Linked DNA regions of Anolis sagrei. The protein of the gene in region 2 purifies or fractionates together with the protein of the main gene of each other region. This does not show direct contact. Links are inferred from orthologs where the notes say so. Each region holds a gene or a part of one and is shown on either strand. Other genes may lie near its edges.

Evidence for each region.
Region 1: the proteins of OGT (region 2) and CXXC1 purify together in Homo sapiens (affinity purification with mass spectrometry; 3 studies listed by BioGRID and IntAct, with this or other methods). This does not show direct contact. The link is inferred for Anolis sagrei from reciprocal best matches to the Homo sapiens genes OGT and CXXC1.
Region 3: the proteins of OGT (region 2) and SETD1A purify together in Homo sapiens (affinity purification with mass spectrometry; 4 studies listed by BioGRID and IntAct, with this or other methods). This does not show direct contact. The link is inferred for Anolis sagrei from reciprocal best matches to the Homo sapiens genes OGT and SETD1A.

What each region holds. Positions count from the first base shown.
Region 1 is NC_090022.1:193,732,834-193,743,682, reverse strand, and holds the start of CXXC1 (CXXC-type zinc finger protein 1), read right to left. Parts: upstream 4,276-10,849; 5' UTR 4,051-4,275; coding exon 4,048-4,050; intron 1,829-4,047; coding exon 1,713-1,828; intron 1-1,712. Other genes in the region: synaptonemal complex central element protein 1-like, read right to left, coding at 10,374-10,437. UniProt on the Homo sapiens protein: Transcriptional activator that exhibits a unique DNA binding specificity for CpG unmethylated motifs with a preference for CpGG.
Region 2 is NC_090030.1:21,091,252-21,102,093, forward strand, and holds the start of OGT (UDP-N-acetylglucosamine--peptide N-acetylglucosaminyltransferase 110 kDa subunit), read right to left. Parts: upstream 5,075-10,842; 5' UTR 4,978-5,074; coding exon 4,941-4,977; intron 1-4,940. Other genes in the region: TAF1 (transcription initiation factor TFIID subunit 1), read right to left, coding at 10,792-10,842. UniProt on the Homo sapiens protein: Catalyzes the transfer of a single N-acetylglucosamine from UDP-GlcNAc to a serine or threonine residue in cytoplasmic and nuclear proteins resulting in their modification with a beta-linked N-acetylglucosamine (O-GlcNAc).
Region 3 is NC_090026.1:14,486,092-14,496,467, forward strand, and holds the start of SETD1A (histone-lysine N-methyltransferase SETD1A), read left to right. Parts: upstream 1-6,169; 5' UTR 6,170-6,312; intron 6,313-6,325; exon of another isoform or gene 6,326-6,460; intron 6,461-10,376. UniProt on the Homo sapiens protein: Histone methyltransferase that catalyzes methyl group transfer from S-adenosyl-L-methionine to the epsilon-amino group of 'Lys-4' of histone H3 (H3K4) via a non-processive mechanism.

The DNA.
Region 1 (10,849 bases), on a different chromosome or scaffold from region 2:
TTTTGGGCCGGAACCGTTTAGGGCTTTGTAGGCCAAGACCAGCACCTTGAATTGGGTCCGGTAGCAAATCGGCAGCCAGTGGAGCTGGGACAACAAGGGCGTTGTGTGCTCCCTGCTACCCGCTCCAGTTAGTAACATGGCTGCCGCACGCTGGACCAGCTGAAGCTTCCGGGCCGTCTTCAAGGGCAGCCCCACGTAGAGAGCGTTGCAGTAATCCAGGCGGGATGTGACAAGAGCGTGTACCACCGTGGCCAAGTCAGACTTCCCGAGATACGGGCGCAGCTGGCGCACGAGCCTAAGCTGTGCAAATGCTCCCCTGGTCACCGCTGAAACCTGGGGGTCCAGGCTCAACGATGAGTCCAGGGTCACACCCAAGCTGCGAACCTGCGCCTTCAAGGGGAGTGCGACCCCGTCCAGCACAGGCTGTAACCCTATATCCCGTTCGGCCTTGCGACTGACCAGGAGTACCTCTGTCTTGTCTGGATTTAGTTTCAGTTTGTTCGCCCTCATCCAGACCGTTACAGCGGCCAGGCACCGGTTCAGGACCTCGACAGCCTCCTTAGTAGCAGGTGGGAAGGAGTGACAGAGTTGGTATGGGTATGGGTATTCTTAGTAAAGAGTCCCTTCATTTCAATAGGATTCAGTATTATCTGTGAGTTCCCATATAGGAGTGCACCAACCCTATAGAACTGATGCAGTCTGACATCGCTTTATCTGTCATGGTTCAATGCTATGGAATACTGGGAGTTGTAGTTTGGTGAAGTACCAGCATTGGAGTGGGGGGGGGGGGGATAAAGAAAGACTGTGAAACTACAACCACCAGGATTCACAGAAATACGCCATAGCATTTAAAGTGGATTCAAACTGCAGCAATAGTATGATAGCTAGGACCCTACACTATGCTGCTTGCGCAACGTGGGTCTAAATTAGGGGAACAGGTGCGCAAGTGAGTGCGCCAAGTTAGAGACGCAGCTGCAGCGGAGTCGATGCAATGGAAGGAAGGATAAAAAGGAGCAGGAAAAGACGATCAATGGAAGGAAGGATAAAAAGGAGAGGGGAAGTACTGTTACATTACCTCACCCTTATCCTGTCCCTCCTGAGTTAAATTACTTCACTGTTATCCTGTTGCAGCGGCATCTCTCACTCGCTCCACTGTCTCATGCACATGTCCCCTTCATTAATTCTGACCTGCATTGCGCAACTAGCGTAGGGACCCAGCTATCATATTATTGCCCTGCAGTGTAAATCAGGCATGGGCAAACTTCGTTCTGCCAGGTGCTTTGGACTTCCAACTCTCAGAAATCCCAGCCAGCTTACTGGCTATTAGGAATTGTGGGAGTTGAAGTCCAAAACACTGAAGGGCTGAAGTTTGCCCAGGCCTTGTGCAGATGCAGCAGCACAGCCCACCCCACCCCGGATACAGGGAATGTACTGTATTCCAATGAAATGTTGCCACAGTGGCACAATGTATTGAACCCTTGTGCCAGTGACCGAAAGGTTGGTGGTTCGAATTCAGGGAACAGGGTGAGATCCCGTCTGTCAGCTCCAGCTCTCCATGTGGGGAAATGAGAGAAGCCTCCCACAAGATGGTAAAACATCTGGACGTCTCCTGGGCAATGTCCTTAGAGACAGTCAATTCTCTCACACTAGAAGTGACTTGCAGTTTCTCAAGTTGCTGATGACATTTTAAAAATTCCCTCAGAAATACTCACATCATGAAACAATTGATATCTGGTTTGCGGCAAATGCAGTAAACTGGAGCGTTCTCTCCATTCTCTGATTTGGACTCCTCGCCCAGAACAGCTAGATCTGGGTCAGAAAATTCATCCTGAGTTGCACAGAAGAAGAGAAAAAATGAATCATGGCAAACACATTTAAGAAGAAGAAAAACTTAATTTTTCTACTCTGCCTCCATGTCTCCAAAGGGACTCGGGGCGGCTTACATGGGGCCCAAGCCCAGGCAGAATACAATTAAAATAAAGCAATAACAATTAAAACAGCATAAAACAACATAACAAAAATAGCTAGCAACAACAACAGCAGACTAATTTTGGAGTGGGGGAGGAAAACCACTACGTGAGCTAGTTAAAGGATAAAGTGGTTTAGTAAGGTAGATGACAATGTATAACGGCATAGGAAAAATCACGGAAACAGACAATAGTTAATACAATATAGGACATCAGATTGAATGACAATTCAAGTCATGATACAGGCCATTTGTCATAGAAGTCGTCAATCGAAAGCATGGCGAAACATCCACGTCTTTAATTCCTTATGGAATGTGACTAGGGAGGGTGCCAGCCTAATCTCCCTGGGGAGTTCCAGAGACGGGGGGCCACCACCGAGAATGCCCTCTCTCTCGTCCCCACCAACTGTGCCTGAGACGGGGGCGGGAACGAGAGAAGGGCATCCCCGGATGATCTTAAGGACCGCGTGGGCTCGTAAGGGAGGAGGCGGTCACACAGATAGCCAGGTACTGAACCGTTTAGAGCTTTATAGGTGATGAAGTTCAACAGTGACAAATGCAAGATACTCCACTTTGGCAGGAAAAACGAAATGCAAAGATACGGAATGGGGGATGCCTGGCTTGAGAGCAGTATGTGTGAAAAAGATCTTGGAGTCCTCGTGGACAACAAGTTAAACATGAGCCAACAATGTGAAGTGGCGGCAAAAAAAGCCAATGGGATTTTGGCCTGCATCAATAGGAGCATAGTATCTAGGTCCAGGGAAGTAATGCTACTCCTCTATTCTGCTTTGGTTAGACCACACCTGGAATATTGTGTCCAATTCTGGGCACCACAATTGAAGAGAGATATTGACAAGCTGGAATGTGTCCAGAGAAGGGCGACTAAAATGATCAAGGGTCTGGAGAACAAGCCCTATGAGGAGCGGCTTAAGGAGCTGGGCATGTTTAGCCTGAAGAAGAGAAGGCTGAGAGGAGATATGATAGCCATGTATAAATATGTGAGAGGAAGCCACAGGGAGGAGGGAGCAAGCTTGTTTTCTGCTTCCTTGGAGACTAGGACGCGGAACAATGGCTTCAAACTACAAGAGAGGAGATTCCATCTGAACATGAGGAAGAATTTCCTGACTGTGAGAGCCGTTCAGCAGTGGAACTCTCTGTCCCGGAGTGTGGTGGAGGCTCCTTCTTTGGAAGCTTTTAAACAGAGGCTGGATGGCCATCTGTCAGGGGTGATTTGAATGCAATATTCCTGCTTCTTGGCAGGGGGTTGGACTGGATGGCCCATGAGGTCTCTTCCAACTCTATGATTCTATGATAACCTGCACTGGAAACTTATCGGCAGCCAGTGGAGATATTTAAACAGGAGGGTTGACCGCTCTCTGTAACTTGCTCCAGTTAACAATCTAGCCGCCGATCTTTGCAGTGACATTTGCTTCACCTCCATACTTCCAGACAGATTTCTACAAAACAACAACAACAATAAAGCTGCAGACTTGTGCATACCTACCATGGAGCAAGCTGCACTCAAGAGACTAAGAATCACTGCACAAAGGAGCCTCCCAAAAGCCAAAGACCTGTCAACGGCTCTGCAAAACTCTTTGACAGAGAGGAGGTGCATCTACTCTGTGGAATGAATACAGTTTGACACCATTTTCAAGGTTCAGCGCTATGGAATCACAGGAGTTGTAGTTCGAGGGGTCACCAGCACTTTTAGGCAGAGAAGGCCAAGGGTCTTACGAAACGACAGATTCCATAGCACGGAGCCATGGCCGTCAAAGCGGTGTCAAACTGCATTAACTCTATAGTGTGGATGCACCCTTGGAAGAGCACTGACCACCAGCAGGGGCCTGGCTCTGTCTTCACCCAGGAGAGTCCTTGCTAGCCATTCTGGGTAAAGACAGAGCCAGGCCCCTGCTAGTGGTCAGTGCCCTTCCCAGGGTGGAGCCCATGAGCACTGGCTCCCTAGGCTGGGAAGGAAACCCAGAGCCCCCCACAGACGCTTCCCTCCTTCCCGCCCTCAGCAACGGAAGGCCGGGCTGAGGGAATGGCGGACCCCAATGCCGCCGGCTCCTCCTCCTCCTCACCATGATCTCCCGCTCTCTTCCTTTCTCTCTCGGCCAGTTCCCTTGTTCTGAAACAAGACGACAAGACGCTCGGCAATAGTAGGCCAGAGCGCCTGCCCGCGACTACTTCCGTTTCCGGTATTAGCCACAACAAGAAAAGACTATCCATGCCAAATGAGGCCCAAACTCCAATTGGACTTCAACTCCCAGAAGTCTCGGATGCTTCGGCCAACGATAAGGAATTCTGGGAGTTGAAGTTCTAGACGCCTCGGAGATACTACGCTAAAAATGGCGGCCTGGCGCCTTCTCGCCAATGGACTTTCGCTGAAGGAGGAGTCCGAGGAGGCGCGTGCGAAGGGAGCCGCCGTTCCATTGGGATTTTTTTGTTTGTTTTGACTTCCTAGAACGTCCTGCTTCGAAGCTAGCGTGACTTCTCGACGCTTCCGCTTCCGGAGCCGATAGAAGAAATATAGAAAAAAAGGCACATGAGCGTGGCTCAGTCACTGCAACGACGGGAGGAGCATTGGGATATTAGTGGTGTTAAGAATGGTTTGACTGGTAATTGTCAGCGCTTGTCTTGTTCAATGTCAAGCTGTCCTTTATGTTTGGATCGCTCGAATAATGCAGTTTAATAAATAAAAATATTAAGGGGGTGTCATTTAGCAGCCCTTTTTATGGTTGCATCTGCACTGTAGATTGAAAGCAGTTTCACACCACTTTACCTGCCATGCTTCAAATGCTGGGATTTCTGGTCTCATAAGGTCTTTTGCCTTATCTTGGCAAAGAGTGCTGGTGTCTTATCAAGCTGGAAATCCCAAGTTTAAACCATAGCAGTTAAAGCAGTGTCAAAACTGCATTCGTTTAATAGTGTAGGAGCAACCATAGACTCAAAGTTGCTGCTAACCCCCCCCCCCTTTTCTCTCTCTCTCTCTCTCTCTTTTCTTTTAAATGTGGAAAACTGCATTATTCAGCCATCCAGCAAATATTACCGCCTCAAGTATGTTTGGCAGAGACGAGAGACAGGGCCTTCTCGGTGGTGGCCCCTTGGCTGTGGAATGCCCTCCCTACAGGTATTAGATCGGCCACCTCCATTTTTACATACCGGAAAAAAGTCAAGACGTGGCTTTTTGAACAAGCATTTGCAAATGCAGAATAACTGACATGTGAAAATGGAATGATTAGACAAAGAGTCCGTACAATGTTTTTAACAAGGAGACACTATAAACTTATATTTTATTGATTTGTTTAGTTTTTGTTATATGTTATTTATGTTTTTAATTGTACTTAAGACATTGGGGAAGGCTGAGCGAAGGAAGATAGATGCTTTTGACCTGTGGTGTTGGAGGGGAGTTCTGGGAGTGCCTTGGACTGCTGGGGGATCCAACCAGTCCATCCTCCAGGAAATAAAGCCCGGCTGCTCATTGGAGGGAAGGATACTAGAGACAAAGTTGAAGTACTTCGGGAACATCATGAGGAGACAGTAAAGCTTAGAGAAGACAATGATGCTGGGGAAAGTGGAAGGTAAAAGGAAGAGGGGCCGACCAAGGGCAAGATGGATGGATGGCATCCTTGAAGTGACTGGACTGACCTTGAAGGAGCTGGGGGGGGGGGGGTGATAGCCAACAGGGAGCTCTGGCGTGGGCTGGTCCATGAGGTCACAAAGAGTCGGAGACGACTGAACGAATGAACAACAACAAGACATTGTAAGCATTGAATTTTGCCCTGTTGACTGCCTTTAGTCGCCTGCAGGCTGAGAAAGGCGGTATACAAATACAGTAAGTAAATAAATAAACATTCTAACAGCAGAAAAGAGATGAGACGAAGTCCTGTGCACCCGGAGTGTGAAGTAGCAGCTCTCCATTGCTCCTCCTTTCCATTGTTGCCTCACACTCATGGCTTCCTTATTCCAGTCTTCCTCCTCTCTTTGGGTCTGCCACTTGGGTCTGCCACTTCCACTCCCAATGGGCAAAGCCACACAAAGAAAGAGAGAGAGAGAGAGAAGCCAGATTCTGGGTCCAGGTCTTCTAGCCACTCTAAGCCAGTGAAAAATGCTTTCGCGAAGCAAGCAAAAGACCCCATCTCAGCTGCTGCTCCAATCTCCCTTATTAAAAAACTGACCATACTAGAGTGACAGCAGTAATTAAGGATTTCATCAACCTAGAGCACCTATCCATTTAAATCTTGTGTCTGCCTCCTGCAGAATTCTGGCATTTGTAGTTTAGAGAAAGGGCCTTTAAAATGCTCAGCCAGGCAGGTCCTGGACCTCATTAAACTACAAACCCCAGAATTCTGCGGGAGGCATCCACAGGATGTAAAGCAGTGGTTCTCAACCTGTGGGTCCCCAGGTGTTTTGGCCTACAACTCCCAGAAATTCCATCCATTTTATCAGCTGTTAGGATTTCTGGGATTTGAAGGCCAAAACACGTGGGGACCCACAGGGTGAGAACCACTGGTTTAAAATGGATCCATTCTCTAGCACAGTGGTTCTCAACCTGTGGATCCCCACGTGTTCTGACCTACAACTCCCAGAAATCCCAGTTTACCAGCTGTTAGGATTTCTGGGAGTTGAAGACTAAAATACCTGGGGTCCCACAGGTCGAGAACCACTGCTGTAGCGTGATAAGGTTCAAAAAGTGGCAGCCCAGAGATGAGAAACTATGCACCAGCTGATAACAGCATCAGGTACAGGTTGAGGAGGCTTTAGGCTGGCCAGGAAATCCAGAGAGAGAAACAAGAAAAGTTGGGGTGAGGACTATAAAAAAAAAAATCTAAAAATCAAAGTTCAAATAGGTTTTCCCCCTAAATTGGAACTTCAAAAGTGGGCTGTATCTCAGTCAATGAAATATGGTATTTCACCCTCAGCTTTTCATTTTTTCTGATAAATATGTTAGCAAATGTGTGATGTTTTAAAACTGGCATAAAGTGTCAAGGTTTTTTTGATTGCCAATATGTATTCTTCGCACACCTCGCAGATCTTCCAAATGAAACACAATAGCCAGGGGCTTACAGAAGTGATGTTAGTTTAGTTTTGGCTTATTTTTGTCCAATTGCAAGCTGAAGATTTGATTTTTTCCCTCCCAAGATTTCTGTAGAGTATTTTCAAAAATTGAAATGGATAAATATTTTGAGCACAGATTGATCCTGTATCTAGGGAAGAGAAGTTGCATAATATTTCTGTAGAGTCATTAAATGCCGTTCAATATGCTGCGGGTTTATTTTTAGAGAAAACATTTGCTGCAGTCTTTATTATTTTAAGCTGTTCACTATTGATAAGACCTGAAATAACATTTATCTAGATAGAACAATATGCTTGCTGGAGCGATTCTGCCAAAAAGGAAATTTTAGTTAGATCAGTTTTTAATCTCACATTGAATCTTTTGTAGTTGAGATGTTGCGGGTTATTGAAGTTTTTCATAGTTAAGGTATTTGAAGGCATATGAACATGTCTTTGGCTGGGGACCATTGTTTATTTGAATGATTTTTGCATGGTTTATTTTTAAACACATGGTCTTGCAGTTTTAGAGAACCTTACATATAAGCTCAAGAATTGATTAATAAATGTGGCATTCAAGCCATCAGTTTCAAATTTTGCAGTTGTCTGGTTTTTCGTTATAGCCAGTGCAAGAGTTGCAATGAAAATGCATATGGGAAGAGATGTTATCTGTGCTTAATGCCTACATGGTTGAGTTCAATGTTATAAGTACAGTGGGCCCCTGATGTCTGCTGGTTTGGTCCCTGTGGATATCAAAATCTGTGAATGCTGGAGTCCTGTTATTTTAAAATGGCATAGTAAAATAGGGTTGTTTAATGAGTTGAAAATATTTTTTCAAGCTGTGGATGGTTGAACCTGTGCATACAAAAGGCTGAGAGTGTTTGTCTAAACTGTGGCTGGTAACACCTGATATAATAGTGAAGTACCTAGAAATAATTAATTGATAACACTGTGTTTAATTCACCATTTGGCTCAAAAAGAGCCTCTAGGTCTAGGTCAACTTAAAATTTAGAAATAATTAAAAATATGTATAACAACAAACATTAGAAACAAAATTAAGGACCAGGGTTGAAATTGCATTTCAAGTTTGGAAAACCTCTATGGAACGAAGTTTTGACACATCACCTAAACTGTACCAGCCCCCATCAGACAGGGTTAGTGCCTTGTAGGCAGCTACCTGATCCCATCAGGAGAATCACAAATGCAGTTCACAAATATAAGAGCAACAAATGCAAGAGTTTGCTGTTATCTTAAATGTCTTTGGGTCTGTGAGCCCTTAGAATTAGATTTTTATTCAACAGAACAATTACTATTAGGACACATTTTGGCAACAGTAAGTAAGAAAAAGGAAGAGAATTTTGAGCAAAAAGCCCAGGATGAAGTTTTTTTTTAAAAAAAAAAAATCCCACTCCCATGGAAACAAGTTGTACAGAGAGAGAATTAATTACATGAGCTCCAGGCTGACATGGCAAGTATACCTTATCCTTGGGGCTTCTGAAGAAAGAAATTAGCTTGTTATCTATGAACACCTGCCATTACTTATCTCAAAAAATGTCCCCACTTTCAGGAAAGACCAGTAACCAGATCTGTGCCTGCTGACCATGGGTTTCTTTCTTCTGTGGTTCCCAATCACTCAGGAAAACTCCTTGCTGTTGGTGGTTGGGTACTTCTGCCCCATCCTTATCTCTCTCGGACACATTTTCAAGTTAGAGGATTGTACAGAAGAAATCTTAAAGAAGAAAGCAAATCTCCAACTATTCTCTTCCTTAAAATTATTTAGTAAACCAAAAATTGGACTAAAAAATAAACAAGGTGCTAGGTTTTTGTTAGAAAGTTTCACAAAATTCTTGAGCGCAGAATTACAAATCCAAAAAATTAGTATGAAGTCCCCTTCTGTTTAACTGATGCCCAACAGAGATAATACTAACTATAACTTAACACATTCACTTTTCTGTACCATTATCATCTCCTCCAATGAAAAACCTGATTGGTCCTTCAAAAACCTGTTAAATCTGTTTATTTGGACACAGACAACTGAAATAAAATATGCTTCAACTGATGTAACAAGCAAACATCAAGATTTTCTGTTAATGAAGTTACAATTGAATTTTGGATCAGTGGTTCCTTTTAATATGATTTTATAGTAAAGTCTTTGGCACAACAAATGCTAAGATCTGAATGAATATGTATATTAATTACTATTAACCGGAGAAGGAACAGGATTTTTTCATGAATGCTTTGTTAAGGTCGAAATGAACCATTCCATTGAGATAAGGATTTTTCTTCAAAGCAAGGCTTCTCCAGCTCACATGAATCTGCCAATGTGGAGAGAGAATAAATGAAAGGTTAGTTCTGTTATTCCAGTAAGATTCCTCTTTTGAATGGAGGAGTGGGAGCTTCTGTCTAAACCTATTGAAGGTTGCTCACCTCTACTCTAATCTTTGACAGAGCAAGAAGATATCCTATACTTCATAGCAGATTTGGAATAATTAGCATAGCTACATAGCCAACTTTGAAACCCAAGAGTCCACCTCATGTTGTTCAGTGTTTTCCTCTTGTTCCAGTAATCTCTTACCATCCCTATAATACCAAGTTTGCTATTTTACCTTGATATTAGGTTATTGTACAGCAGAAATGGGAAATGTCCTTTCAGATATTGTGGAATGCAGCTTCCATCATCCTTTATTTTTGGGTTTGCTGTCTTGGAATGCTGGAAGTTGCAGTCCAACAACAGGTAGAGCACAGGTGTCAAACTCTAGGCCCATGTCATGTTATGTTGCCCTCCAGATATGTTCCTCACTAGAGATCACTACTAGAGCTGATAGTTGTGCTGCACTAACATCTGAAAGGCTGGAGTTTGTTCTGTTTAGTCAGAACAAACTCCAGTGGGGTTTGAATTTGGATACAAGGCTTGTTGTATCCAAATTGTGTCTGAATTTAAAATGTCCTTTAATTTTTCCCCAATCTCAGAGCCACAAATGCTTTTGGGCTGGAATTCCTATTATTTCCAGTCTGCGTGGAAGACTGCGTTCCAGTCTGCCACGCAGACTGGAAATAAAAGTGACTGGAGTTGTTGTTTAATAACATCTGGGGACCCAAACTGGGTTAAAAGTAAAGCGCACCATCCACTATTTTAAAAAGAAATAGTCAGCCTTCTGTATCCACAGATTCTCCATCCATGGATTTAGTAATCTTTGGAGGCAACTATAAGGCTGATGTGCTCCTTGATTAAAATGAATCTGACACCCCTGACCTAGAGGATCATATGTTCCTGCGATATGTGATAGCTTTTTGAGAATTATTAAAACCACTTAACCTGTACCCCATCCTGTATTTTAGCACTCTACAAACCATGTTAATTCTCATCAATGCTGACATTCTCCATTTCCATCTGCATGTCCTCCAGTTCCGCTTTTAATCTGAAAAAGAGATGAAACAATTGAAATAACAAAAGAATTTAAAATGTCAGGTATTTTAGAAGTATTTAGGGGCCTTTGATCAAAATGGCCAATATATATCTATTGTACCTTTCCATGGGAATAGATAATACAATTAGAGTGCTTGAGAGAAGCAACATGGCTTAAAAGGTGATAGCTGTGATCAAATCTTATTAATATTTTAAGTAGCATAAATATGGATATACATCAAAATAGGCATAGTTATACCAAGTGACATCTCCAGCCCATCCTCTGTTCAGATATCAGCACACCAATGCCTTCAATCAAGAAACAGCTTTCTAAGGTCTAGAAAGATATTCACAGGAAAACCTCAGCAAGCAAGTGTCCAAACGTGGCAAGTGAAAACCTGGAAGCTCAATCCATGGCTGATACC
Region 2 (10,842 bases):
GTACTAACTGGACCAATCATTCTGACCTATCATTTAGAGGCCAGTTGCTTTTACCTGTGAACCTCTGACATTCTGCATAGATCCTAGGTCCATAATATCCGAGGGATGGAACCCTCTTTGGAGGCTTATAAATGTGCTTGAGAAAAGACTTTCAGAATAAGGATGCAGAGGATTCTTTTTTCTCTAAATCATAAAATCCTAGAGATGGAAGAGACCTCAATGGAAATTCAGTCCAACTCTCTTCTGCCAGGTAGGAAGACACCAGCCAACCCCTCCCTGACAGATGGCCATCCAGCCTCCACTTAGTAACACTATGAAACAGGTTGTAAATGTCATTTTCTAAGTAGTTCTATCAGAGAAACATGGGAAAGTTTACTAAAATGAAAACTTTGATTTTGTGGAATTGACATCCTGCAGCACATTTTGCTATAGTTTTTCAATTAATCTCATTGAGTCTAAACCAATTCAACAGTCACAAAAAGGAAGATTCTGGAGTATAAAAACTACTTTTAAAGCAAGTACTGCATAATTAAAAGGAATACTTTCAATCCAGTACAGATTTTTTTCAAATTTTAGGACATGATGTTTGTTTGTTTTTTTGTCGTGTCAGGAGCGACCTGAGAAACTGCAAGTCGCTCCTGGTGTGAGAGAATGGCCGTCTGCAAGGATGTTGCCCAGGGGATGCCTGGATGATTTGATGTTTTTATCATCCTTGTGGGAGGCTTCTCTCATGTCCCCGCATGAGGAGCTGGAGCTGATAGAGGGAGCTCATCCGCCTCTCCCCGGCTTCGAACCTGCGACCTGTCGGTCTTCAGTTCTGCTGGCACAGGGGTTTAACCCACTGTGCCATCGGGGGCTCCAGTACATGATGTAATAATAATAGAACGACAGAATCCTAGACTTGGAAGAAACACCAAAGGCCATCCAGCCCAACTCCCTTCTGCTGTGCAGGAAGACACCATCCAAGCCCTCCCAACAGATGGCACCCAGCCTCTGCTTCAAACCCTCCAGAGAAAGATCAGTGCTGGATCTGACACAATTGCTAAATACCCTCACCTTTTAGATGTGAAAACTACCTCAGTTGATGGAAACAAGGCCAAGCTAGCAATGTGGGGAAGTTGCAAGAAGAAAACCCATAACACCTCCCTTCATTGTTGAGTCAGGCCAGGAATTGGACTGGGAACACAAAGGTTTTTTGTGCCCAGATCCAGCAAGTGACTGAGTTTTTTCAGACACATGCAATTACACTATGTAACATAATTTGGTTTTTTGTCCTGTTCCTGGTTTGAAAAGTGCTATTTCCTGTTTAATTGTGCAATACTTACTTTGAAAGTTGTTGTTCTATTCCACAAACTTCGTTTTTGTGGCTGACAAACTATGTTGCAATTGATTTGACTCTTTTATCATGTATTCCTTGAAAAACTAGAGCAAACTGTACTGCAGTTCGTCTCTCACAGCAACAAAGTTTTTGCACTTTGATCCACTTTTTCCATGCTTTTATGATAGAACCAATTACAAAATGACATTTATAACCCAGGGACAAAAAGTGTTACATAGGGTTACTGTTTACACATTTGTATTATTTTCCGTGTTAGCCGCTTTGTATCTCCTTTGAGAGAGAGAAAAGCAAGGTATAAATGCATGCACATAATATTTTACAAATTGCTTGGTTTAATTCGATTTTAGTGTTTCATAGTCTTGAATAATACTGTAAATGGTACAGCTTGTAGCACAGTTCTGTTCACCACTTTGAGTCTCTCGCAAGATTGAAAGAGACATATAAATAAAATGGTATTATTAATGTAAAGATAAAGGTTTCCCCTTGACATTAAGTCTAGTTATGTCCGATGCTGGGGGGTGGTGCTCATTTCAATTTCTAAGCCGAAGACCCAAACAAGAGCTGGCATTGTCCATAGGTGCCTCAAAGGTCATGTGGCTGGCATGACTGGATGGAGCGTTATTATTATATTACTATTATTAGTAGTAGAAAAGATTACAGATTAATAAGTGGAACTTCTTCCATTTCCAAAAGCCATATTTGGTAACCAGATCCTGCTAGCAGGCGTCACCTATGAATTATTAATAATATTATTATATTAAGTAATATTATGTCCTGCTTGTATTTCTCAAGAAGGTGAGATATAATAATGTATAATAAAAGGTACACCAGAAATAGCATTATTATCATTGTATGATAGTATTTTATCTTCACAAGAAGTGAATGAATTTATTTCCAACCTATTAACAGCAGTGAGACTGATAACTGCAAAAAAATGAGAAGATAAAAGCAAAATTCAACTGGAAGAATGGTATAGAGAAGTCTGGAACACAGTGAATAATTACTGTACTATTTTTGGATGATGGTTTGGTGTCAATTTAATATGTTTGTTTTAGTTAAAACCTTTCTATGGAACCAGGCCTTTTCTGAAATTCAACAACAGGCAATGGCCAGATAGATACAAGTACAGAAGAATCTCACTTATCCAACATAAACGGGCCGGCAGAATGTTGTATAAGTGAAAATGTTGGATAATAAGGAGGGCTTAAAGAAAAGCCTATTAAATGTAAAATTACATTATGATTATGTTACAATTTTACAAAGTATGCACCAATACATCATGTTTGACAACAAATCAACTGAAAAAGCAGTTCAATACACAGTAAAATTATGTAGTAATTACGGTATTTACAAATTTAGAATCAAACCAAACAAGGATTATTTATATCTCCAACAATGGACTGTGTTAGATAATAGAACGTTGGATAAACAAGACTCTACTGTAATTGTATATTTTTTGGAATGCTATTTTGGACCGGCAATATTTTAACATGGCCTAAAGGAAATGGAATTTTTGGGACCCTAGGATAAGTCTTTTTAATATTATCCTTAATGGCCTGAGAGTCAGGGAACTTTTAATGGTACGGTGGCATGTTATAATTTATTAATTTGTCAAATTTTGGCTTATGTAGTGTGTATCTTTGTTTTTGTTGACTCAAACAATGATGGATCTGGACCAAACTTGGCACGAATACTCCATATGTCCAAATATAAACACAGATAGCGTTTGGGGAAAATAGACCTTAACATTTGGGAGTTGTAGTTACTGGGATTTATAGTTCACCTACAATCAAGGAGCATTCTGAACCCCAACGACGACAGAATTGGGGCAAACTTCCCACACAAACCCTCATGACCAACAGAAAATACTGTGTATTATGGTGGTTTTTTGTGACCCTTCTGACACCCCCCTGGTGACCTCCCCCCCCCCCCGTCTTGACTTCCCACGTTGAGAAATGCTGCCTTAAGGCCACCCAGTCCAACTCCCTTCACCAGGGCAAGAAAACATAATCAAAGCCCTCCTAACAAAGGGCCATCTGGCCATTCACACACACAAATATATGTATACTAGCTGTCCCCTGCCACGCGTTGCTGTGGCCGAGTCTGGTGATCTGGAAAATAAAGTAATGAGAAAATGCTAGTTTTTAATATATGTAATTCCTTTATGCTTGTAGGTAAAGCAGTATTTCTTGCTGTTTCTTTGTCACTGTTGATGTGGAGATTGTTTGGTTTGCCTACTCGGAAACATATAATTGTCCTTCTTTAGGGGTCCCTTTCAAATCTAGGATATTATATCTGTGTGTGTGTGAATCATATACATCTATCTATATCTATGGCTGAATGGCTCTTTGTCAGGAGGGCTTTGATTATGTTTTCTTGCCCTGGTGAAGGGAGTTGGACTGGATGCCCTTAAGTATTTTCTGTTGGTCATGGGGCTTCTGTGTGGGAAGTTTGCCCCAATTCTCTCATTTGAGGGGATCAAAATGCTTTTTGATTGTAGGTGAACTATAAATCCCAGTAACTACAACTCCCAAATGTCAAGGTCTATTTCCCTCAAACTCAATCTGTGTTCATATTTGGGCATATGGAATATTTGTGCCAGGTTTGGTCCAGATCCATCATTGTTTGAGTCCACAGTGCTCTCTGGATGTAGGTGAACTACAACTCCCAAACCCATGGCCAATGCCCACCAAACCCTTCTAGTGTTTTCTGTTGGTCATGGGAGTCCTGTGTGCCAAGTTTGGTTCAATTCCATCATTGGTGGAGTTCAGAATGCTCTTTGATTGTAGGTGAACTATAAATCCCAGCAACTACAACTCCCAAATGACAAAATCATAATTTTTGAGTGATGGTCACTCCTTGTGTAGTGAGACGTTTTGTTGCCAAATTTGGTGTGATTTTGTTCATTGGTTCTTTTGTTTTTAAGGTACTCATTATGCACAGAGCATATATAGATAGATAGATGACAGATGCAGTATCAAAGGTTTGAAAGGGACCCCTAAAGAAGGACAATGATATGTTGCCTGTTCCAGGGTAGGCAAACCAGACAATCTCCACATCAACACTGACAAAGAAACAGAAAGAAATACTGTTTACTCACAAGCATGAAGACATTACATAGGTTAGAAAGTAACACTTTCTCATTATTTTCCAGATCACTATACTGGGCCACAGCAACGTGTGGCAGGGGACAGCTAGTATAATAATGTATTTATTGAAAAAAGCAAATACATCCTGGCAGCCTAAAGGACCTCCGACTTTAAATCCTCTTAAAGGAGTTCTATCCTTGTACTCAGCACAAGGCTGTGTTTTTTTAAACAGGGATTTTAAAGGGATTTATTCCAAAGGTCAGAGGCCAGAAAGCACGTGCTCGGCCTCCTTAGAAAACAACAGATCCCTTCTAAGAGAAACCTCAGCGATCAATTATTAATAGAGTGGAATATAAGGAGCAACCACACACACACAGACCCAGACACAATTGTTTCCGACCTCTCCCCCCTTTAGGCCCAATCCTCGGCGTGGCCTAGAAAACAGGCCCGAGACTGAGGAGGCCTCGTCCCAAGCGGGAGAAAATGAACAGGCAGGCCTTGACGAGGAATACCTGTGCTGTCGGCCACGTTCCCCACAGAGGCCGCCATGGCTTCCGCTGCTCCTCCTGCTTCGAGGCCGAAAGATTGTCTGACTGACTCACTCCGCGCCTCGCTTGCCCAAGCGGCGTCTCCTAAAATGGCGGCTGAGAGGCGGAGGGATGCAAGGCCTGGGCGGATCTTCTTCCAAGGAAAAGTAGTCCCTATTCCTAGTGCGGATGGGTGTGTTGTTTCCCTTTGTTTCCCTTCCTGACGTTACTCTGAGCCTTTCCTGCTCTGCTCTCTCTCGTATTCTCTCAACATTTCCAACAAGAAAAGGGACACGGAAAAAATATTGTCAAATCACCTCTCGGATCCACAGTATTCCTCCGCCAAACACTGCGACACATTGGCGCAGCGCGCATGCGTATTAGAGCTGCCTCTTCTCGTAAACGGAGGGGGTTCGAAGCGAGGAGTGACGGGAGAGAAAAGGGCGGGAGTTCGACTGCGGCAAGAGACCCGCAGCCCCGCCCCTTCTCCTCTCGCCACGGTGCAGTTTTCCCATAACCGGAAGTGACGGCATCTCAGGCGCCAGGGCACAAAATGGCGGATTCTACCTCAGTGATAACATTCCCAATGGGGGAAAATGTGGAAAACAACACACAAAAATAGCTATCTCGCACACAAAAATAAATAAGATAAAATAAATAAAGGACAACACTTAGAAAACAGGAAATCCTGACAGGAAACAACTAGGGCCAGCTAACACCTCCTAACAAAGGATTCCCCAGGGAGGAAGCTGCCAGGCCATTCAATGCTAATCAACATGGCTGTGCTGTCGCACGCTGGGCCTGTGCAAAAGGTCTGGAGAACAAGCCCTATGAGGAGCGGCTTAAGGAGCTGGGCATGTTTAGCCTGAAGAAGAGAAGGCTGAGAGGAGATATGATAGCCATGTATAAATATGTGAGAGGAAGCCACAGGGAGGAGGGAGCAAGCTTGTTTTCTGCTTCCCTGGAGCCTAGGACGCGGAACAATGGCTTCAAACTACAAGAGAGGAGATTCCATCTGAACACGAGGAAGAACTTCCTGACTGTGAGAGCCGTTCAGCAGTGGAACTCTCTGCCCCGGAGTGTGGTGGAGGCTCCTTCTTTGGAAGCTTTTTTTTTTTTTTGAAGTAAATTTTTATTAAAGTTTTCAGATAATATGGGGTTACAGGGAAAGAGTGGGAACAATATTCAAACAGAAAAAGAGTGAAAGAAATAAGGTAGACTTCTTTGGAAGCTTTTAAACAGAGGCTGGATGGCCATCTGTCAGGGGTGATTTGAATGCAATATTCCTGCTTCTTGGCAGAATGGGGTTGGACTGGATGGCCCATGAGGTCTCTTCCAACTCTTTGATTCTATGATTCTATAAGACTGTAGACAGGACACAAACTCTCTGTGCCCAACGGGATGCCGGGGCTGCCTCAGATTAAAGGCCCTTGGATTTCCTTAAAACAGAGTCTTTAGATTGCTTAAATGTTCAACAAAGTTCTTTATTATTAAAAACAAACAGGTACTTTAAGGCTTTCTTAATAGTCTATTGGATCTCTCTCAATCTTGTCCACAGGGAACAGGCACTATCTTCATAAACTGTAACTAATGGGGAAATCCTTAACTTCTAATCTGGACAGTCTGTCTTTGCCTCTGTTGGCGTGGAGCCCCTGCACCCGGTACCAACTGCTTCTGGCTTCCGCGAGCGACCCTTACCAAGCAGAGCTTTGTAGACTTCCAGGGGAAGGAGTTCAGGTTTCAGTGATGGCTGGCTGAAGTCCTTCAGCAAAGGAGCTGTAAGGCTGTATAACCCCAGTCAGGCGGTACACTGTATATCTCCCGGCCAAACCGTAGAAGACAAAGCTTTCTACAGGAGCTCTTGGTATTATGTCCTGCATGAAAGACTTCTCTGTGTGGACTGGACTCAAATTGGCTCCTATTCCCTCCAAAACCCAAAAAGGGGGGCGGGACTAGGGAACCTAACTATAATTGACAGGCAGCTTGCCCTATGATTGCAGCCAAAAGAAGCCTCTTATCTGCAGAGTCCCTGAAACTTAGGACTATAACAAACATTAAATGCAAACCAAACAAAATTGGAACTCCTGCCACAGTTGTACCTGCACAATAGCCAATTTAAACATTCACACTTGCCTCCAACAGACAATAATAATAATAATAATAATAATAATAATAATAATAATAATACTTTATTTATATACCACTCCATCTCCCCAAGGGGACTCAGAGCGGTTCCCAAGTAATATCACAAAACATCAGAGTAAAAACACTATAAGATTAACAAACAAAATATAAGCATAAAAATCGTCGCCATAACACACATATATAAAAAGTAATCCTGCCTGTTCAAGGCAATTAAAAATTTAAAAGGCCAGGCCAAGATTAGTGCAAGCCCCAAAATGCTAGGGCCCCCGAAAATTAAGTGCAATGCTATGGCAGGCAAAAATAATATGAGGTACGGGTCTGTGGCTGTTCATTCCAGGGCCAAATAGAGGAAAGAATCTGGGTAACTGGTAGGAAGAATAAGGCCGTATTAGACAATGTGTGGGGCTGAGTTAGAACTGGTCATTTTCAAAGGCTAGTTCTTTCTCCCACCCTGGACATTATTCCACATGTATATAAACTCCACTTGCCTCATTTCCAACAGACCTCACAACCTCTGAGGATGCCTGGCACAGATGTGGGTGAAATGTCAGGAGAGAATGCTTCTGGAGCGTAGCCATAAAGCCCGGAAAACTCTCAGAATCCCAATAAACTCTCCATTAGGGTTGCCTTTGGGCTCAATGCATTGAGGCAAGTGGGATGTCATCCAAGTCAGGCTAAATCTATCAAGTCTTCCTTCCCTCAAGACTCCTTTCCCCTGCTTTCCTTGTTGTTGTTGTTCATTCGTTCAGTCATTTCTGACTCTTCGTGACTTCATGGACCCGTCAGAGCTCCCTGTCGGTCGTCACCACCCCCAGCTCCTTCAAGGTCAATCCAGTCACTTCAAGGATGCCATCCATCCATCTTTCCCTTGGTCGGCCCCTCTTCCTTTTTCCTTCCATTTTCCCCAGCATCATCTTCTCTAAGCTTTCCTTTCTTCTCATGATGTGGCCAAAGTACTTCATCTTGGCCTCTACTATCCTTCCCTCCAATGAGCAGTTGGGCTTCATTTCCTGGAGTATGGACTGGTTGGATCTTCTTATGGTCCAAGTCACTCTCAGAACTTTCCTCCAACACCACAGTTCAAAAGCATCCCTCTTCCTTCGCTCAGCCTTCCCTAAGGTCCAGCTCTCACATCCGTAGGTGACTATGGGGAATACCATTGCTTTAACTATGCGGATCTTTGTTGCCAGTGTGATGTCTCTACTCCTCACCATTTTATCAAGACTGGTCATTGCTTTCCATACTTTGATATTAAACAAGGCTTTTTGAATTACATTTTCATTGCATTTCACATGCTTCAAAAGCCTATCCAGTAGATCCCAACATATTTATGAAAATCCTCTGTGGGCACAGTCTTGCACAGGAATGCCCCCAAAGTAGCCCCTTTCAGGTGGGGCCATGTGCCAAACAGGGATGGGGTGTTAGATCCCAACCTTATTTCCCATCTTCACCGCTATGATTCTGCACTGAAGGGGACAAGAGACAAGGGCCTGATTTAATTTGATTAATGAATAGCAATACTATGAAGAATGTTGTTGTTTATTCGTTCAGTCGTTCTTCGAGACCTCCTGGACCAGCCCAGGCCAGAGCTCCCTATCGGCAGTGGCCACCCTCAGCTCCTTCAAGGTCAAGCCAGTCACTTCAAGAATACCACAACTTAGACCCTGGGTGTCACAAACAGATGAAATCTGGAGAGATTCAAGAGGAAAGCAGCACACTCCCAGACTCCCAGGGCTTCCTCAATGTCTTCCAAAGGTCCTCCATGCCTCAACCATTGTTTGTTTGGGGCTTTGTCCTCCCCCCCCCCCCCCCGGTTGTTGTTGCTTATTCGTTCAGTCGCTTCTGACTCTTCATGACCTCCTGGACCAGCCCACGCCAGAGCTCTCTGTCAGCCGTCACCACCCCCAGCTCCTTCAGAGTCAAGCCAGTCACTTCAAGGATCCCATCCATCCCTCTTGCCCTTGGTCGGCCCCTCTTCCTTTTTCCTTCCATTTCCCCAAGCATCATTGTCTCCCCTAAGCTTTCCTGTCTTCTCATTATGTGGCCAAAGTACTTCATATTTGCCTCTAAGATCCTTCCATACAGAGAGCAGTCAGGCTTTATTTCCTGGAGGATGGACTGATTGGATCTTCTGGCGGCCCAAGGCACTCTCAGAACTTTCCTCCAGCACCACAGTTCAAAAACATCTATCTTCCTTCGCTCAGCCTTCCTTATGGTCCAGTTCTCACATCCATAAGTTGCTATGGGGATAACCATTGTGTTAACTATGCCTATCTTCATTGCCAGTGTGATGTCTCTACTCTTCACTCTTTTATTGAGATTGGTCATTGCTCTCCTCCCAAGAAGGAAATCTTCTGATTTCCTGGCTGCAGTCTGCATTTTATTTTATTTTATTTGCCATATTCTCAGCCCAAAGACGACGCAGGGCAGTTCACAGTTGGCAAAAAATAAAACAATCAACAAATAAAACAATCATAAAATACTGTTAAAACATTTAGCATAAAATATAAAAATATAAAAAAGACCATACAAAGCTGTAAAAACATTGTTGTGGGCATCTCCTTGTTAAAATCATTATTCAATTGCATCGTCAGGTCGTTCCATGATTTTGTGTAATTATTCTGAGTTAGCAAAGGCCTGCTAAAAAACCCCTGGTTTTAACCTTTCTTCGAAAAGTCAGGAGGGAGGGGACCAATCTTATATCCCTGGGAAGGGCATTCCACAGTCAAGGGGCCACCACTAAGAAGGCCCTGTCTCTCGTCCCCGCCAACGCATCTGCAGTAATCTTCATGGCTAGAAATACAAATTCTGTCACTGCATCCACGTTTTCTCCCTCTATTTGGCAGTTATCAATCAGTCTGGTTGCCATCATCTTGGAGTTTTTTTTGGGGTTTTTGGCGTTTAACTGCAATGTCCTCATTGTGAAAGAAACACAGTACAGATCCAGAATAAATCTCTATAGTCACTTATGGACCCAGCGCCAAGACTCTGCTCTTGGAAGACAATCAGACTCACAGGCCACAAGGGATTCCCTATAGCATAACAGTAGTAATATAAATCAGTATTGCAAATAACCACTAGGTCCCCTATACAAGAGTATCAATATAACCAGTAGATTCCCCATAAACCAGTATTGACAAGAAGATTCCCAGTTATGTTTCCCCCATTATCTGTCTATTTTCCTTCTGTATGGTGTCTCCAAAGGGCTGCAGAGCTCCAGCCTCCATGAAACAGAACAGATTATACAGGAAAAGGTTTATTCACGGTTTGGCAAGTCTTTTGACACATCGGGTCCTGAGCTGTAAATACAGCATCTGTGCTGAAATGTTGTTTGGGAGCGAAAGGATCTTGTGACCAAACAAGTATGACTCACATCAGCCCCTTAATACTCACACAGACTTACATCGACACATACACACACAAACGCGAATTTTCACAGAGACAAACTGACTCACATATCATTTGAAAATATACAATTTTACAGGTAAAAAATGGGACCGGGAGTAAGTCTGTTTTGTACAGGGGAGAAAAATAATAGAAAAGGTACAAATATGAGCAAGGACAAAACAGAAAACAAAACTAGGGGTGGAGCTCTGATTAGCAGCAGAAGATATCCAAATTTCAGTGGAGAAGAAACAGCAAAATGGTGTCGATCAGGCCTCAGAAAGGTGTTGTTCATGGTGAGATGGCTTTACTCATCTGAGTCCAGATCACTGTCTCCGCCAATGGATTGGAAGTCCTC
Region 3 (10,376 bases), on a different chromosome or scaffold from region 2:
GAGACGCTATTGTGTTGTTATTGATGTGCCATTACTTGTATATTATGCTCTCATGGTTTTAAATTGTTATTGCTATTTTGATATGACTGTCTTTTTGCTCTGTTGTGAACCGCGTTGAGTCGCCTACGGGCTGAGAAACTGCGGTATACAAGTAAAGTAAATAAATAAATAATAAATAAATAAGGTCAAGGGGAAATTTAACTTTATGGACATATGTGGTGGGAATGTTAAAATGTAACAACTTTTTGGGTAAATATAATTTAAAATTGAGAAATTATTCGAAATTCCAATCCAGGTAAACATGGAATTTATGTTAATGGCCATACAGTAATAAGGAACCAAAAAATGGGTAGAAAGAATCAAGCAATGGTCCTAACAGGAAAGGCGGTAATAGCCTGGGGATAGAGAGATGAAAAAATGGAATTTGGAAAACTGGAATAACTATTTATTTGAGCAAATACAACTGGACATTATAGCATGTGTAATTCAAGAAGGTACACATGAGGATAAAACAAGGAAAAATAAAGGTAAATGGGAGATTTACAGTATATGAAATTGATAGAAGATGGTGAAGCCAGTATATTGTACAAAATTGAGAAAACTGTGCTCATGGTTAAAGATAAAGATATAGATGAAAATGTGGTGGAGAGAGGGTGAAGGGATTGGGGGGGGGGAGAGAAAAATTAAAATGTAATGAGAAGAATTAATTTTGTAAAGAAGGTGAATTGATAATATAGAAATAATGTAATATTTAGAATGTATTTATTTATTTATTTATTTATTTATTTATTTATTTACATCACTTATATCCCGCCCATATCAGCCCGCAGGCGACTCAGGGCGGTCTACATATCAGCACAATTCGATGCCATCAATATAATACAAAAGCAAAAACAATTAAGTGCATTTAGACAAAAAAGACAGTGCAATAACAATTTAAAAAGAGCTATATCCTCTCATTCCAATCCTCATCCGTTTCATTGTCTTGGCCGTTCCTGGGCCATACTCCATCTCAAGCTTGATTATATATACAAAGTTGTTAATTATCTACTCACAGACTGTGTTACTATGCACTCAATAAAAATTATTTTTAAAAATTATCATTTTTTCCATTGAGGTATGCCATCTCATGATGTGTCCACAGCACTTCAATTTAGCTATCTTAGCTTCTAGTGAAAATGTAATAATAATAATAATAATAATAATAATAATCTTTATTTATACCCCGCCACCATCTCCCCAAAGGGGACTCGGAGCAGCTTACATGAGGCCAAGCTCGGCGATACACTACAGCAAAATAGAATACAGAACAACAAAAATAACATTGCAATAAAATAAATAAAACATTCAGGTAAAATAAACAGTGCAAAATAACAATGGAAAATCAAACACAGTGGGCAAGCCAAATGCACGACATAAAATGATAAAACTCTGAGATAGCAATGAAAAAGGTATATTTGTGGGGGAGGAGCTCGTAGGGGGTGGAACCGTGGAGTTAGGCCATCAATAAGGTGAGGGAAATGCAATATGAGGAAAACACTGTGGGTGAAACAACAAGAAAGGAATATATGGTCACTCTCCAAAGGGACATCTTTTTTTCAAAGATCCATTCATTTTGTTGTTTTAGTAATCTATGATATCCATAAAATTATTTTCCAGCACAACAACTGTTTAACCCTTGTAACAAAACAACCAAATACAAATATTGTCCTTCTCTAACAAAAATGCAAGAGATTTATTGAGAAATACAGTATAGTAGGTTTTTTCTCAGATCTTTCATTTCAACTATGTTACTGTTTGGGGAATGTGTCAGTGTCTGTAAAACACATAATTTTGTCTAATAACAAAGCTAGAAAAAATATTTGTAATGTAATGTAATGTCAGCAGTAATTGAACGAAAAAGCTCCCTGGACCTTTTAAAATATGTAATATTTAAAACTAAGGTGTAATATTTGCAATAGACATTCACATTTGCGTTTTGAGACATTATTGCAAACCATCCTGATCTTCACTATAATTTAGTGTTTGTGTGTGTGTCATACTTCCCATTCGGAATGATTCAACATCACTACAGGCTGTCCAAAAAATCACCATACATAAGGAAAATGGGAAATTGGAGCTAAATGTACCTTTATTTACAAAATATTCATTACACATTTTTACAAAATATTCTCTACATTTTGGCCACCTCTTTCTACACTAACACACACAAAGTGTAATTTTTTCCTATGTATGGAGACTTTTGTGACACCCTATAGAGATACAAGTGCATTAGCACTACTTCATCAGTTCTGAAAAGGAGATGTACCTATAATCTCGGGGCATTAAAACAAAGCTGGACTTGCATAAAACTATTAATGTGGGATCACCAAAAATAATTTAAAAATAGATTGAAAATAGCGAATTGCATACTCTATATAACTCTCATTTTGACCTCATCAACAGGCTGTGCCACATAATAATAATAATAATAATAATAATAATAATAATAATAATAATATGGAACCAAGCATTTGGAGAGTAGTTACAGTGCAATATGCAGCTACAAAGTTAAGATGGTTGGAATGGCTTTTGGATTATGATTTCAGGACGACGTGCTATGCTTTAACTGCTTATTTAAATGTATTTATATCTTTCTGCTTTTTTTATTTTAATGTATTTATTTATTTATTTATTTCTGACATTTATATCCCATCCTATCTCGACTTCCGCAGAGGGACAACAAAAGCATAAATATACATCTTAGGTCAAAACAGTATAAAACATTATAAAAACATAAAAACAGTGAAACATTAGAACAATCGGCAGAATTAAATCGTCGTCCTACACACAGTCCAATTGAGTCCATTAAACCATAGCTCTACCATCATGTTGCTCTAGTCTGCTGATCCCACAGCCTTGATTTCACCTTTTTCCGGAAGGTCAGGAGCAGGTCTGATTTTACTCAGGAGGGAATTCCATAGCCAAGGGGCCACAACAGAGAAGGCCCTGTCTCTCCCCCTCCCCCCACAACCGCAATTGTAATGATGGGGGGGACAGAGAGCAGGCCCCCTCGAACAATCTTAAGGTCCTAGGTGCTTCGTAGCGGGAGATACGTGTGGACAGGTAAACTGGGCCAGAACCGTTAAAGGCTTTATACTTACTTTCTTAGGCGATTCCTCGTTGTCCGAGTAGGATAGTCTTCCATGATCAGTGTGCTGGTGGATCCGTAGGTGACTGTGCAGCCCTATTTTTGATCTGCATTGTCTCCCACAGTGAGGGCATTGGTTTCCAGGTGGAAGGCGGTCTTGGTTGGGGTTGGCTTGACGCGCCTTCCTCTTGGCACATTTCTCTCTTTCACCCTCCATTCGTGCCTCTTCAAATTCTACAGCACTGCTGGTCACAGCTGACCTCCAGTTGGAGCGCTCAAGGGCCAAGGATTCCCAGTTCTCAGTGTCAATGCCAGAGTTTTAAAGGTTGGCTTTGAGCCCATCTTTAAATCTCTTTTCCTGTCCGCCAACCTTCCGTTTTCCATTCTTGAGTTCGGAGTAGAGCAACTGCTTTGGGAGACGGTGGTCAGGCATCCGGACAACGTGACCAGTCCGGCAGAGTTGATGGCGGAGGACCATAGCTTCAATGCTGGTGGTCTCTGCTTCTTCCAGCACGCTGACATTTGTTCGCTTGTCTTCCCATGAAATTTGCAGGATTTTCCAGAGGCAGCGCTGATGGAATCGTTTCAGGAGTTGCATGTGGCATCTGTAGACAGTGCACGTCTCGCAGGCGTAGAGCAGAGTTGGGAGGACAGTAGCTTTATAAACAAGCACCTTGGTCTCCCTCGGATTTATTATTATTATTATTATTATTTATTATGCCCCAGTCCTCAAACACTCTCTGCTTCATTCGGAAAAAAGCTGCACTTGCAGAGCTCAGGCGTTGTTGTATTTCAGTGTCAATATTGACTTCTGTGAAGAGGTGGCTGACAAGGTAGCGGAAATAATCAACATTTTCGAATGTTATACCATTAAGCTGTGTTTCTGGCATTGGAGAGGGATTGGCTGGTGACTGCTGGAAGAGCACTTTGGTTTTCGTATGATATTGTTTCTAGCACCCACGTTTTGCTTGATATTCATACGAAAGCTGACTGGCACAACCTGGGGATCACAACCAGACACAGTGAAGACATCTGCCCTTGCACTATGCTACTCTGCTGCTGAGTACGCATGCCCAGTGTGGAACACATCTCACCATGCTAAAACAGTGGATGTGGCTCTTAATGAGACATGCTGCATTATCACGGGGTGTCTGCGCCCTACACCACTGGAGAAATTACACTGTCTAGCCGGTATTGCACCACCTGACATCCGCCGGGAAGTAGCAGCCAATAGTGAAAGGACCAAATGTAGTGACATCTCCTACTCATCCCTTGTTTGGGTATCAGCCAGCACATCAACGACTTAAATCAAGAAATAGTTTTCTTAGATCTACAGAGACACTCGCTGGAACACCTCAGCAAGCGAGAGTCCAAAAGTGGCAGACTCAAACCCAGCACCTCAATCCATGGGTGATACCAGATGAGAGACTCCCTCCTGGGCACACAGAAGTCTGGGCGACTTGGAAGGCGCTGAACAGACTGCGCTCTGGCACCACGAGATGCAGAGCCAACCTTAGGAAATGGGGCTATAAAGTGGAATCCATGACATGCGAGTGTGGAGAAGAACAAACCACTGACCACCTGCTGCAATGCAACCTGAGCCCTGCCATATGCACAATGGAGGACCTCCTTGTGGCAACACCAGAAGCACTCCAAGTGGCCAGATACTGGTCAAAGGACATTTGATCAACTACCAAGCTTGCAAATTTTGTGTTTTGATTGTTTGCTTTGCTCTGTTAGAAATGTAATACAATTGTCTGGCTGCCCCTGACACGATAAATAAATACTTTGGTTTGATCGATGTTCAATGACATGCCGAGCTTCTCCGTGAAAAATACTAAAACCTATTATGCTGAGTTTCCTAACTGGATATTTTAAGTTGATTTTAATAATGTGTGGGATAGAAAAGTTTGGCCTTCCCTCAAATATCAACCCAGAATGGGAAAATTCTATTCTGTACTTGGCCTGAATCTTTTCCATCATTTCCCGAAGCCATTTCTACCTCCAGGGACCACAATCCTCCCGCTGCGCAAGCTTCGCAATTTTTTCCTTCTGCCATCCCGTTGTTAGAGCTAGCTTTGATGTCGTACGCGCAGATTCGCGAGGCTCCCATTTTGTCACGAGAGGAAAAAAATACCCAAAGAACCCCCGCTCTTTCCGCTCAACATCCTTTAACCCCTTCTCAAGCAAGAACTTCCATTTTCAAAGCGGAGCCTTTTAAGTCGGAAAGTGCGAGTCCGGAACGGCCGACCAGTTTCCTTTTTCCCCCGTTGCGCCTTGCTCTTGTAAGATTTAGGCTGCTGTTTAGAATCGAATGATTCGTCTCTAGGAGAAAACAAAAAAAGGAGATTCTTACGTTCTATGGAATCACACGGAGACTTTTTTAAAAAAGAAAATCATATATTGACGTAGTTATAATGAGTCTTTTCCTCCTCATCTAATTCGTTCTCTACAGTGTGACGAAAGTAATTTTCATTTTCAAAGCAGAGCCTTTTAAGTCGGAAAGTGCAGATACGGAACGGCCGACCAGTTTCCTTCTTTTCCCTTTGAGCCTTGCTCTTGTCAGATTTAGGCTGCTGTTTGGAATCGAAAGATTCGTCACTAGGAGAAAAAAATAAAGGAGATTCTTGCATTCTATGGAATCACACGGAGACTTTTTTAAAATCATATATTTGTGTAGTTCTAATAACGGGTCATTTTTCCCCCTTTATCCAACTCGTTCTCTACAGTGTGACGAAAGTAACATTCATTTTCAAAGCAGAGCCTTTTAAGTCGGAAAGTGCGGCTCCGGAACATTTGAGCCTCCCTCTTGTAAGATTTAGGCTGCTGTTTGGAATCGAACAATTCGTCACTAGGACTGGAAACAAGAAAAAAAAAATCTTACATTCTGTGGTAGAACCACGGGGAGACTTTTAAAAAAATAGTATAGTTGTGTAGTTATAATAATCATTTTCATTTTTCCCTCCTTCGTCTAACTCGTTCTGTACAGCGTGGCGAAAGTGCGGTTGAGGAAACGGAAGGAGGAGAGAACAACAAACCAAACACCGTCACCATAGAGAAGAACAAGGGTGGCGACGACGAAGGAGAGGGGGAAGCAGGATCTCGCGAGACCCGGCGAGAGTCTCGAATCGGAGGTTTTGGCCCCGCCCACTGGTCCCTGTCGGCAGCGGCGGTGGCAAGAGGTAGCGGGTGCTTGTCACCCTTTTCCCTTCTTTCCCTTCTCCCCACCTTCTCTCGCTCGCTCTTCCTCAGACCTCGGCTTGTCCTCTATGGGCGGAGAGCGGGAAGAAGGCCGCGAGTGGGAGAGAAGAGACTGAGAAAGGCAGGAGGGTGCGCGAGCCAGGCCGGGCCGAGAGGGAGGGAGGGAGGGGGAGGGGGAGGGGGGCGTGCGCGCGCCTGGCTCCTGAGAGAGAGTGAAGGGAGGGGGGAGGGGGCGCGCGCTCTCTCTCTTCCGCGAGGCGCCAATGACGGGTGGGGGGGGGGGGGGCGAGGGAGCGGGAGCGCGCGCGGGGGTGCACCTGGTGGGCGGGGCCGGGCACTGGGCCTGGTTTTGTGTGTATGTGTGTGTGTGTGTTGTTTTGTTTTGGTTTTATTTTGGAGGATGGAGGGCTGGGAAGGAGAAGATAGGATCCTGTCTTAATCTGTGTGTATCTGCATATCGGTATGTCTATCTATCTATCAGGCATGGGTAAATTTGGGCCTCCCTCCAGGTGTTTTGGACTCCAACTCCCACCATTCCAAAGATCCAGAGGAATAAGATAGGATCCCCCCCCCCCCCCCGTATATATGTATGCACATCTATCTATCAGGCATGGGCAAACTTGGGAGAAGATAGGATTCTCTCTCTTCTTTCTCTCTCTGTATATATGTATGTATGCATATCTATCTATCTATCAGGCATGGGCAAACTTGGGAGAAGATAGGATTCTCGCTCTTCTTTCTCTCTCTGTATATATGTATGCATAACTATCTATTTATCAGGCATGGGCAAACTTGGGCATCCCTCCAGGTGTTTTGGACTCCAGCTCCCACTATTCCTAATATCCAGAGGAATAAGATAGGATCTCCCCCCCCCCCCCCCGTATATATGTATGCATATCTATCTATCAGGCATGGGCATACTTGGGAGAAGATAGGATTCTCTCTCTTCTTTCTCTCTCTGTATATATGTATGTATATCTATCTATCTGTCTATCAGGCATGGGCAAATTTGGGCCTCCCTCCAGGTGTTTTGGACTTCCAACTCCCACTATTCCAAAGATCCAGAGGAATAAGATAGGATCCCCCCCCCCCCTCTCTGTATATATGTATGCATATCTATCTATCAGGCATGGGCATACTTGGGAGAAGATAGGATTCTCTCTCTTCTTTCTCTCTCTGTATATATGTATGCATATCTATCTATCTATCAGGCATGGGCAAACTTGGGCCTCCCTCCAGGTGTTTTGGACTCCAACTCCCACCATTCCTAACAGCCATAGGGAGAAGATAGGATCTCCCCCCCCCCCCCCCTGTATATATGTATGCATATCTATCTATCAGGCATGGGCAAACTTGGGCCTCCCTCCAGGTGTTTTGGACTCCCAACTCCTACTATTCTTAACAGCCATAAGGAGAAGATAGGATTCTCTCTCTTCCTTCTCTCTCTGTATATATGTATGCATATCTGTCTATCTGGCATGGGTAAACATGGGCCTCCCTCCAGGTGTTTTGGACTCCAACTCTTCCAATTCTTTGGAAGCTTTTAAACAGAGGTTGGCTGGCCATCTGTAAGGGGTGATTTGAATGCAATGTTCCTGCTTCTTGGCAGAATGGGGTTGGACTGGATGGCCCATGAGGTCTCTTCCAACTCTTTGATTCTATGATTCCAGTTGGTTTGGACTCCCACTATTCCTAAGAGCCATAGGGAGAAGATAAGATTATCTCTCTTCTTTCTCTCTCTGTATATGTATGCATATCTATCTATCTGACATGGGCAAACTTGGGCCTCCCTCTAGATGTTTTGGACTCCAATTCCCACTATTCCTAATAGCCAGAAGGAGAAGATAGGATCCTCTCTCTCTCTTTCTCTGTATATATGTGTGTGTGTGCATATCTATATATCTATCTGGCATCGGCAAACATGGGCCTCCCTCCAGGAGTTTTGGACTCCAACAGCCAGAGGGAGGAAGGAGAAGATAGGATCCACCTCTCTCTCTCTGTATATATGAATTTATATCTTTCTTACTATCTGCATGGGCAAACTTGGGCCTTCCTCCAGATGACTTCAACTCTCACAATTCCTAACAGCCAGAGATAGGAGGGAGAAGATAGGATTCCCACCCCCACCCCCCTTATATATGTATGCATATCTATCTATATATCTATCTGACTTGGGCAAACTTGGGCTTCCCTCCAGGTGTTTTGGACTCCAACATCCCCCCCCCCCAAATATATATATTTGTGTGTATGCTTATCTATATATCTTGCATGGGCAAATTTGGGCTTCCCTCCAGGTGTTTTGGACTCCAACACCCCCCCCCCCATATATATGTATGCATATCTATCTATCTTGCATGGGCAAACTTGGGCCTCCCTCCAGGTGTTTTGGACTCCGACTCCCACCATTCCTAACAGCCTCAGGACCCTTCCTCCCCCCCCCCCCCCCACAACAGCCTCAGGTCCCTGAGGGGGGAAAGGAAAGGTCCTGAGGCTGTTAGGAATGGTGGAAGTTGGAGTCCAAAATACCTGAAGGAAGGGTCCAAGTTTGTCCATCTCTGATGTAGATGTGAGGCCTGTACAACTTGTGGCCCTCTTTGTGTTTGGGGCCCCCAACTCCCAGGAGGCCTAGCCAGCTTGCCCAATGGTCAAGCATTCTAGCAACCAAGGGCCCAAACCACAGGCTGTGCAGGCCTGATCTATAAGGTATTAGTAAGTGTGGGATACAAGAGGGGGGAATATTTCATTTTATATATATAGAAAGAGAGATAATGTGGTATAGCATGGAGAGGTGGTGAGGAGAAAGTCCTGATATATATGGAGTGGAGGAGAAGCAAAGTAAGATTAACAGATATATTTTATAGGAAGAGACTGGTATTGCGTGTCTGTGTATATATATCAGGCATGGCCAAACTAGGGCCTTCCAGGTGTTTGAGACTCCCAACTCGCAGAAGCACTAGCCAGCTTGCCCAGTGGTCAAGAATTCATAAATCCCTGGAGAGCCACAGGTTGTGCAGGTCTGTTCTATAAGATATGGGTTAGTGTGGGATACAAGTGGGGGAAATATTTCATTATATATATATATAGAGAGAGAGAGAGAGAGAGATGTAGTATAGTGTGGAGGGGTGGTGAGAGAGTTCTGATGTATATGGAGTAGAGGAGAAGCAGAATAAGATTAAGATATTTTATGGGACGAGACTGCTATAGTATGTGTGTATATGTGTATATATATATACACACACACATATACACATAGTCACCTACAGATCCACCACCAAGATCCTACACTTGGAAGGCAATCATACTTGAACACGAGGGATCGCTGATGATGATCTCTCTCTCTCTCTCTCTCTCTCTCTCTCTCTCTCTCTAGGAAAGTGGTACTTGCAGGGCACAAATGGGGAAAATATTTCATGAGGAAGAGGATGTGGGATAGTGTGATTATCAAGGGAGGACTGTGGGAATATGTGTGTGTGTATAGAGAAAGAGAGGATAGGGGTAGGTGAAGGGTTCAATTGGGAAAATATTTCATGGAAAGAGGATGTATATTTTGTGTCAAGAGGTGGCAGAGGCAATATAAGTGCAAGATACAATTGAGAGAAATATTTCATAGGAAAGGGATTTGGTATTGGCAGAGGGAGGAACCCTAAAAGTACTTTAGATATAGAGATAGGTGTGGGGTACAAGTGGGGAAAATATTTCATGAGAAGGAGAATGTGATATAGTGTCGTAGTGGAGATGGGGAGGTGACAGAGAATCCTGGGAATACTGTATGTGTGTGGATAGATAGGGAGGTAGAGAGCTAGAGGCAGCAGGGTAAAATTAAGGGAAGGGGATGTGGTATAGCATGTGTGGAAAGGGGGAGAAGCTGAATCATTTGGGGATCCTCTAGGACTAAGCGTTGAACTTGGAGGCCCAGGTATCTGCGGTAGCCAGAAGGGCCTTTGCTCAATTAAAACTTGTACACCAACTTCACAGAAGCCAGATCTGGCCACAGTGATCCATGCCTTAGTTACATCCCATCTGGATTACTGTAACACTCTCTATG